Sus scrofa: one gene and its partner. The protein of the gene in region 2 interacts with the protein of the main gene of each other region in a pairwise test. Links are inferred from orthologs where the notes say so. Each region holds a gene or a part of one and is shown on either strand. Other genes may lie near its edges.

What was found. The genes of interacting proteins can lie anywhere in the genome.
Region 1: the proteins of NAP1L1 (region 2) and RPL23A interact in binary tests that used the Homo sapiens proteins (3 or more experiments, as listed by UniProt). The link is inferred for Sus scrofa from reciprocal best matches to the Homo sapiens genes NAP1L1 and RPL23A.

What each region holds. Positions count from the first base shown.
Region 1 is NC_010454.4:44,955,058-44,959,926, forward strand, and holds the start of RPL23A (60S ribosomal protein L23a), read left to right. Parts: upstream 1-1,793; 5' UTR 1,794-2,114; coding exon 2,115-2,139; intron 2,140-2,758; coding exon 2,759-2,942; intron 2,943-4,640; coding exon 4,641-4,817; intron 4,818-4,869.
Region 2 is NC_010447.5:39,332,049-39,336,395, reverse strand, and holds part of NAP1L1 (nucleosome assembly protein 1-like 1), read left to right. Parts: intron 1-1,528; coding exon 1,529-1,651; intron 1,652-2,350; coding exon 2,351-2,380; intron 2,381-2,616; exon of another isoform or gene 2,617-2,892; coding exon 2,893-2,943; intron 2,944-4,347. UniProt on the Homo sapiens protein: Histone chaperone that plays a role in the nuclear import of H2A-H2B and nucleosome assembly.

The DNA of each region.
Region 1 (4,869 bases), on a different chromosome or scaffold from region 2:
GCCACGGGGAGCCTAGGGGAGCCCGTGGCCTCGGGGACGCTACGACCACCGCAGGCCACGGGGATGAGACAATCACTCGGGGCCGGGGCGAACCCACAATCACCCGGGCCCGGGGCGTCCCGAGGACGACTCGGGGACGGGGAGACTCCTGGGCCACCAAGTGGGGTCGAGGAGTCCCGTCTGGGGGGACCCGGGCCCGCGCAGATCCTACAATAACTCGGGGCCGAATAGTTCCTACAATAACTCGAGGCCGTGGGGACCCGACGACAACTCGGGGTTGAGGCGGCCCTACCATAACAGAACGGCCCGGGGGCCCGGAGCGGCCCCGCCACACGGGGTCAGTGTAGGCAGGGACGGCGCGGGCGGGGGTCGGCTGGAGGAGGGGGCGAGGGGCCCAGTCCGCTGCAGGGCCTCTGGTCCCACTCTGCTCTCCCTCAGAGAGCGCTGTAACTTGATCCCCGGAAATTCCTGGGAAAGGGCCGCCCCCCGCCCCTCTCCCGGCAGCTCTCAGCCTCGCAGCCCGCCCTGGCCTCCCCCTCCTCTTCTCCCCCGACCGCTGCCCCAGCAGAGGCTCCCCCCGCCAGACGCCTCACGTGGCACCAGGCCTGCCCCCACCCAGGTTGGAATCTGTCCAGTTCGGGATCCCCCGGGTCTCTCTCCTCTGCACCTCCGGTGCTGGTCGGAGCCTCCGTGGGGACCCTTACCCAGCCGAATTGGTGATGGGGAATCGGTGATTGCTGCGCAGCATCTGGTTGTGCCAGGAACCAGCGGGAGGGGAAAGGGGGAGAGAAGGGGCCCTAGGAGAGGCGGCGCTTCCCTCCTCAACTCCAGGCCCAGGGCATGACTCATATTGTCTGCCCCCGCTCGCCCTTCTGCCCTGGGAGGTGATGGTGGGGAGCGCAGAGGGGGTGTCAGGGTCGGAGTCAGGTGCCCACCGAGGAGAGAGATGTCCGAAGTCTGGTGCCTTTTCCTCCAAGGCTGATCTGTAGATTGGGGGGTGGGGGCGAAGACCAAGCTGCCTCCCTCGATGGAGGGTAAAGGAGGGCTAGGAGAACCCAGGATTCCGCACTTTGGAGCGGTCACGGCTCTGGGCCAAAGGTACTCCTCTCTGGCATGGGCGTTCTTTGCTCTGACCCTATTTGAATCTTCCCCGCCCCCCTTTCCTTTTTACAGTCTGCAGTCTAGAAGAGGGGATAGCACATATCAATCTCACCTTCAAAGGGGGAACTCTGATTCCAAGAGGGGACGGGAGGGCAGAAAGGCTGTGTGAAGTGGGGTAAACACAGTCCCTCAAAGAAGCAAACCTGAGCATAACTAAACTGCTCTGTGTCAAGAACTGAATTTGAGGATGCAAAGATGACTGGAGCAAAGAGACTACTTGGGAAGGTACTGTGGAACGAAGTTATTCCCCCCCCCCCAAATGAGTGAATCCTGGAGAAATCTGAGCGCTAGGTGTTTGGAATATTGACAGTCTCTTAAAAGAGTATTATTGTGAAGATGCATGAAATCTGTCACAGGTAAAGGGGAAGATGTGGCCGCCTCCTACCCTCTCTTGACACTTAGCTCCTCCCTTCTGCCCCTCTGCTCCTCCCCTCTGCCTGACTCGACTTTTTCTGCCAAGGAATCACCGCGTTATAAATAAGCCATGTCCCCTCTGTCGACCTCAACTTCCACAGACGTTGTCTAAGGGAGTTGGACTGGACAAATTCTGCTCGAATGTTATAGAATTTTGCTTCACTCTCCCTAAGTCAATTTAACTACAATATATTAATTCCGTTTGCAGTGTTACAGTTCTTGGAACTGTAATTCTCTCCTCTAAAGTTGCTCAAGACGGGAAGCGTTCAGACCCTTGCAGCCGCGGGCTACACCATCCACCCGCCGCAGCAAACACGTGTCTCCAAAAAACTACAACCCCCATGAAGCTTTAGTGTCTGACATTAAAGAGGGGTGGTGCTAGTTTAGTCCCTCTCGCGAGGAAGTTAAATCTACCATTCCCGGCGGGCGCCGCGCTGCATATTATCCAATCAGCCTTAAGCAAAAAGAATCGCGAGTCTTCAGTGAGACTTGGCCCTATAAGCCCGTGGGAACAGGTCTTAGAAACCCTTTTCACGAAGATGGCGCCGAAGGCAAAGAAGGAAGGTGTGTGCTGGGGCTTGGGGTTCCACAGCTGACTGTCCTGGGATCCCCGTAAGCAGAGTGAACCGACTGGGCCGACTGGGAGGACGGTGGCAGGGCCAAGCCTTTGGGTGTCTGCTCCGGAGCGGCTCCTCACGTTTCGGCAATGCTGAGGAGCGCGTGGGCCCAGCCGCATGGGCTGGGTTCGGTGAAGGGGTTAGGGGAGGCAAGCCTGGCCGGCACCACCTGCCCAGGACAGCCAGACAGTCGGCCCTGGGGAGCTCCATGTCTCCAGGCCTGTAGAGAGTCTGTACCCTGAACTTGTTTTTCCTTTTTAACCCCCATGTTAAATGGAGCTGTATACCTTCCCAAGATGGCTGTGCGGTGGTATATATAAAACTATTAGTTCAGGTTCTGGCAGTTAGCAAGCGTTCGATCATTGCTAGTAAATTTTTTTCATCGTAACCCAAGTTCGCCCTAGTGTCGTGCATATGATGGAAAAACTTGAACTTCCTGAGGCTTGTGATGTCTTCAAAGGAACCACTGATGCACGTGTAGCCTGGGGCGCCCACTACTGGTCTTGAGGCCGGAAGCGATCGATTTCTGTATCTCTTGCACTCTTCATTTTCTTTATTTCTCTCAGCCCCTGCCCCTCCCAAAGCCGAAGCCAAGGCAAAGGCTTTGAAGGCCAAGAAAGCAGTGTTGAAAGGCGTCCACAGTCACAAAAAAAAGAAGATCCGGACGTCACCCACCTTCCGACGGCCCAAAACACTGCGACTCAGAAGGCAGCCCAAATATCCTCGGAAGAGTGCCCCTAGGAGAAACAAGTCAGTACTCCCCGGTACTTATGAAAAGATGTATGGGTGTTCTCTGTTGGTAGTTTGGATATTTACCAAACCTAGAGCATGGCTTCTCAGAATCATGTTGGTAATTTAGTGGGTTTCTGTAATGGGTGTGGGAGGAGATGATTTAAGAACAAAAGGTGTTTTGGGAATATTGGCAGGAATTGTTGTTTTAAACCCAGAGTCAGTGTCAAGGTTAGGTAATTTTTAGGTTAATAATTGCTTCCTGCGTGGTCTACTTTCTTGTGAGTGTAAAAGTGGGGCTTAAATGTTCTTTGTTCTGGGGTTCCAGGTTTAGGTTGTTCTTCATTGCACCTACTGCTGTAGGGAATAGTCCTTGAAGTTGAGGGTGTGGGGTTCTTTTTTTTTTTTTTTTTTTTTTTTTGTCTTTTTTCTTGGACCGCTCCGGAGGCATATGGAGGTTCCCAGGCTAGGGGTCCAATCGGAGCTGTAGCCATCGGCCTACGCCAGAGCCACAGCAACGGGGGATCCGAGCTGCGTCTGCAACCTACATCACAGCTCACGGCAACGCCGGATCCTTAACCCGCTGAGCAAGGGCAGGGACCAAACCCGAAAACTCATGGTTCCTAGTCGGATTCGTTAACCACTGTGCCACGACGGGAACTCCTGGGTTATTCTAGATTGATGAGATTCATTTGTCTCCACTGTGAAGGCCTGTAGCAGCTTTTTTCACTCACTTCTTTACACTCAAGGAATGGTCTGGCAGAGTGGGCAAAAGGTTAGGGTGCTTGATAGTTTTGGTGTCACACTGCTAGTAATGACTGGCCTTAAGGAGCACAGTTTAGAGTAGAGCCATGGTAGTAGTTAACCACCAGTGAGGACCCACTGCTTTCAAAGAAAAATAGTATGCTCTTGGAGAAAAGGACTTGATAAGGCTTTTTACCTCCACTTGAACCTAGATTTAGCAAGATGAGATGTTGAGATCTTACCTTTAGCTTCAAAACAGGACGATGTATCCAGGCAAATAGAGCCTTGCTTCTCTTTAAGTTTCAGGTGGAAAGATGTGTTGGGTGCGTTCAAGCTGCTGAATCTTTAACGTGAGCTAGCTGTAAATAAAAAGCTTTTAGAATTGATGGCCTGGGATTTCCTGCTGAGGTGCAGTGGTTGGTTTAAGGACCCTAATGCAGCGGCTCAGGTCACTGCTGGGGTACAGGTTTGAACCCTGGCCTGGGAACCTCCATGTGCTGCGGGCGTGGCCATAAAAAGAAGGAATCCATGGCCTGCAAGCCCTCGGAAGGGGCAAAATAATTGATTCTGCATCATGGTGAAGCATTAACATTCTTTGGAATCCTAGCCTGGGTTTCAAGATTCTGTGATATGTGTATTTTGGGGTTATCTAACCTCTTAAGTCTTGGGTTTCTTCTAGAAATTTGCCCTTCAGAAATGTTGAGGTCAGATAAAGAATGAAGACGTCTGGAACTCAGATCAGTGTTTAATCACTTAAAGGATGAAAGCCCTTCATAGGAAAGAGCACCAGGGTTCTGCCCCATGCTGAGCCTTCAGGTCCCCAGGCTTTGGGGTGCACATGATGACACCGTTAAGCGACCAAAGTCTGACAGAAATGATTGCTGCCTCGTTGTCTGATGCACTTGGGCTCCAGAAGAGGGCCCACCTTTTCTTTTACTGGGCCCAAGCCAGGTGACCCCTTTTTGCCTCTCCCAGGCTTGACCACTATGCCATCATCAAGTTCCCCCTCACCACTGAGTCAGCCATGAAGAAAATAGAAGACAACAACACACTTGTGTTCATTGTGGATGTCAAGGCCAACAAGCACCAGATTAAACAGGCTGTGAAGAAGCTCTATGACATTGATGTGGCTAAGGTCAACACTTTGATCAGGTGAGGGAGGTCCCACGGGGTGGGGAGGAGGCCAGCACCTCTGTCGGAAACC
Region 2 (4,347 bases):
ACAAATCCAACTAGGAACCGTGAGGTTGCGGGTTCAATCCCTGCCCTTGCTCAGTGTGTTAAGGATCCAGCGTTGCCGTGAGCTGTGGTGTAGGTTGCAGACGCCACTCAGATCCCGTGTTGCTGTGGCTCTGGCTAGGGTAGTGGCTACAGCTCCAATTAGACCCCTAGCCTGGGAACCTCCATATGCCGAGGGAGCAGCCCTAGAAATGGCAAAAAGACAAAAAAAAAAAAAAAATTGTGTGTCCACTGAGAAATGATGAAAGGCTAAAGATTTTCCTTTGTCTTCAGACTGGCAAATACTTTGTCAGGGATTCAAATGTTCAGTCAGTTTTCAAAATAGTTTTCTTCCTTGTTGAAACTATAATATATTAAGTCATTTATTTATACAGTACTATACTAAACTCTAGCCACATTCTGGTTAGGATTCTTTTTGTGGTTATTATTCCAGGGGAAATTTGGTTTTTTTATATGTGCTTGGCAAATAGCTTAGAATAAGGAACAACCTTAAAGAAGAAAGCTACACAGGCAGGGTAGGCTAGATATGTTTTGAATTTGGTTTAAGTCTTTCACCAAATAATGATGATAGTAGCAAAACAGTCTTGAACAGTTATAGATAAAATACCCCTGCCTGTGATTAGACCTCTTTCCTTCAAAGTCTGTTCCTCTCACTGTTTTATTGTTATTAGAGTGGATTATGTTGATGAATCAGAATACACATTCAGAAATTCACAGAATATTTACTCATTGTTTAGTATTACAGAACTTAAATGAGATAATTTTAATTTTTTTTTTTTTTTCCTTTTTCTGCTGCATCTGTGGTGTATGGAGGTTCCTGGGCCAGAGATCAAGTCCAGGCTGCGGCTGTGACTTAAGCCACAGCTGTGGCAACTCTGGATCATTAACCCGCTGTGTCACAGTGGGAATGCTGAGATAATTTTAATTTTGAATAGTGTTAGCAGCATTTCTGGACTGTACTTTGCCATTAAATAGAAATCCTAGGCTGACTTAACCTTTATCAGTAGGACTACATCTCACTTGGCATTACATAGCTGCTTGGATCTTGTCTTTGAGGAACTGTGAAGTGATCCTGTGTTCTTTTTTTATGTCATGTATGCATGATGTTGTTTATAAAAGCCTGAGATTCTTTCTTATTGTTCCATTTGGTGTTTTCAATAATGATTTTAAAAAGAAAATTAGTCATAAAACAAAGTTGTTTTTGTATCTTTTAAGCTAGAAAAAACTAAATGTTAACCAGTTCTAGCTTTTATTTCACACAATTTCTCGAGTAAGTACACTGGCCTGCTAACTTATTTTCTTCATGTCAAAAGCCTATAAGCCTTGGGTATATGTAGATGACATTTGGTCATGAACATGTAAGCTAATTTTAAAAATTTAAAGTTAAAAATGAAGTTGGAAATTTCTGCATGTTATTTAAACCCAACAGTCCCACATATACCAAATTAAATAACTAAGTTGGGTTTTGTGTTGTTTTTACGTGTGTGTAAGCTTTTATTTTTCTTTAACAGGATGATGATGCTGAAGCCATCCTTGCTGCAGACTTTGAAATTGGTCACTTTTTACGTGAGCGTATAATCCCTAGATCAGTGTTATACTTTACCGGAGAAGCTATTGAAGATGATGATGATGATGTAAGTGAGTCTGAGTCATGCAGTGAAGTCATTTTGGTGAGGGTATGATAGTCAGTGTAGGTGAGAGTTTTAATGAATGGATGCAGTTTTTATAAAGATACAATAATTCAAAATTAGGCTGATTACATAACTTTCCTGAATTGTCTTAAAGAGGCCCTCCTAGGATTTGGGGGTTCATTTATTATAGTTTTTGTTTTCCTCCTAGTAGGAAGGCTACTCTGAAATAGTAAAACTTTACTATGTTGGGTTAGTGTTGTAAATCCAGTACATGTCTTTGACCAAACAAAACAACCTAGGACATTTTTCAGATAAAAATCTTCATTAGGAAGCATGGAATCTTTATTCATAGGAATAGTAAGTAACAATTAAGGTAAAAATTAGGCTGCTGTCAAATGTTTTGAATATTTTTGTTGTTAAATGGCCATCATTCAAATAGGCTTCAGGTCTTTTATGTGTGATGTGTTCCACAAAGTACAGGCAAGAAGTATTACCGACATAGTTATCTGATCACACTTTATTGAAGATTATACTGAGTTCTTAAAATTGGTAGGTTTAGATAATGGCACTGAGCTTAGTGATTCCTACAGGTATTGTCCTTGTTTTAATTTATTATCAGTCACCTTAGGGATGATAGCTAAATGCAGCTTTCAGATGTTTGTTAGCGTCATTCAAATGTCATTCTTTTTTTCCCTTTTTTAGTATGATGAAGAAGGTGAAGAAGCGGATGAGGTAATGTTTACCAAATGAGCAAATAATTCTCTGTTTAACACATTGAGAAGCAAATTGAGTGATATGTATTCCTTTGCTATAATCATTAATTCTGTGATACGGGATAAAAACATTTTTGAAAAAAAAATATGATTTTAGAATTCTACAGCCAAAAACAATGTATGTATGAGGTTTCAATAAATAAATTGCACAACTCAGAACTTTTTTTTATTTCAAATAATTCTGTTCTGCTGCAGGGTTATCAGCTCTTTGAAGAAGTCAAAAGCTGCAGTAAACTTTTTCAACGTTGGCTGCAGTAAATCTTTTCAATAAAACCTGTCTGGATGTCTCAAGTTGTGTTGGGAAATTTTTCATATTAGAAGCTTTCAAATTAAATTGCATTGTCTCCAAACTCTGTAATCATGAAAATCTGTTGACTTATAGAGTAACTTGTATTAAATTCTCCCTACATTATGAGCCATTTCTTCCTACTATGTACCTACTTCATGGATGCATTTTGAACTTTAATATAGGAAGGGGAAGAAGAAGGAGATGAGGAAAATGATCCAGACTATGACCCAAAGGTGAGCAAATTAGTGCTGTTTTCTATTAAATTTAAGGCAGGTTAAATATGAGTTGGTGATTCTGAATATAAAGTTAAATATAAAATTTATTTTTGTCTGTTAAAAGTCTTTAATAAATCTCTCCTCACTGGCATTTCAACAGTACATGTAATTTCAGTGCACCTTTCCTAAGAAACTTTTATTTTGGATTCTGACAAATTTTTCAGAGCTTCAGGCTAAATAACCCTAGGATTCTATTTTAATGACACATTATCTTGGACACTTTCTTTTGTAAAAAAAAAAAAAGGGGTTTTTTAAGAGGAATTTTTAATTAGATATTGTGTTCTTAGGTTGTTTTCTCCCCAAAGGAAAGCTTATAAACAAAGTTTAGTTTATAAATCATCTGAATGCCAGCATGCTCAGGGATAGGGAAGCAGAGTTCCTGTTGTGGCTCAACAGAAATAAATCCGAGTAGTATCCATGAGGTCGCAGGTTCGATCCCTGGCCTTGCTCATTGGGTTAAGGATCCAGCGTTGCTGTGGCTGTTGGTGTAGGCCAGCCACTACAGCTCCAATTAGACCCCTACCCTGGGAACCTCCAAATGCCACGAGTGTGGCCCTAAAAAAATACACACACAGACACAAAAAAAGGAATGGGGAGCAATATTATTGTTAGGGTTTCCCAATCACCTTTATTCTCCATATCTGAAAAGTCCCAGTCTCTTAATCCTGGGAAGTTGTCACGTCAGGGTTAGGAAAGGCCTTTATCTCCCACAAAATTCCTTTAGTATGTTACGTGGCTTTATCTGAAACTTCTGGTTTCTCTTTAACATATTCATTCATTTGCTTATGCTGTAAAATATCCAGAAGATACCTAGTAAGCAGATAAGAGAAGGTAGTTAAAAAATCAAATATCCTAACAGGTATGAATTGGCCTTAACTGCTAAATTAGGAGTGGAATTTTTTTTTTGTCTTTTTAGGGCCATACATGTGGCATATGGGAATTGCTGGGCTAGGGGTCAAATTAGAGCTGCAGCTGGAGCCTACATCACAGCCAAAGCAATGCTGGATCCTTAACCCACTGAGTGAGTCTAGGGATCGAACCTTCATCCTCATGGATACTAGTTGGGTTTGTTACCACTGAGCCACAGTGGGAACTCCCAGTATTTTTGAATAACTGATCTATTAAAAGGCAAAAATATTTGGTAATAGGACAACATATATTGCTTGGCTATTTTATTTGGGGATTATGGCTTAATGTGTAATGTGTTTGATTTTATGGAATTCGTTTTACAGTGTAAAATTTCAGGGAGTTTCATTTTAGCATTTTCCTGACTTGGTAATGGTTGAATTTATAATTTACAATCATTCCTATATCATTTCTTTAATTTGCCAGAAATTTTGACATAACAGTGAGATAATGTGA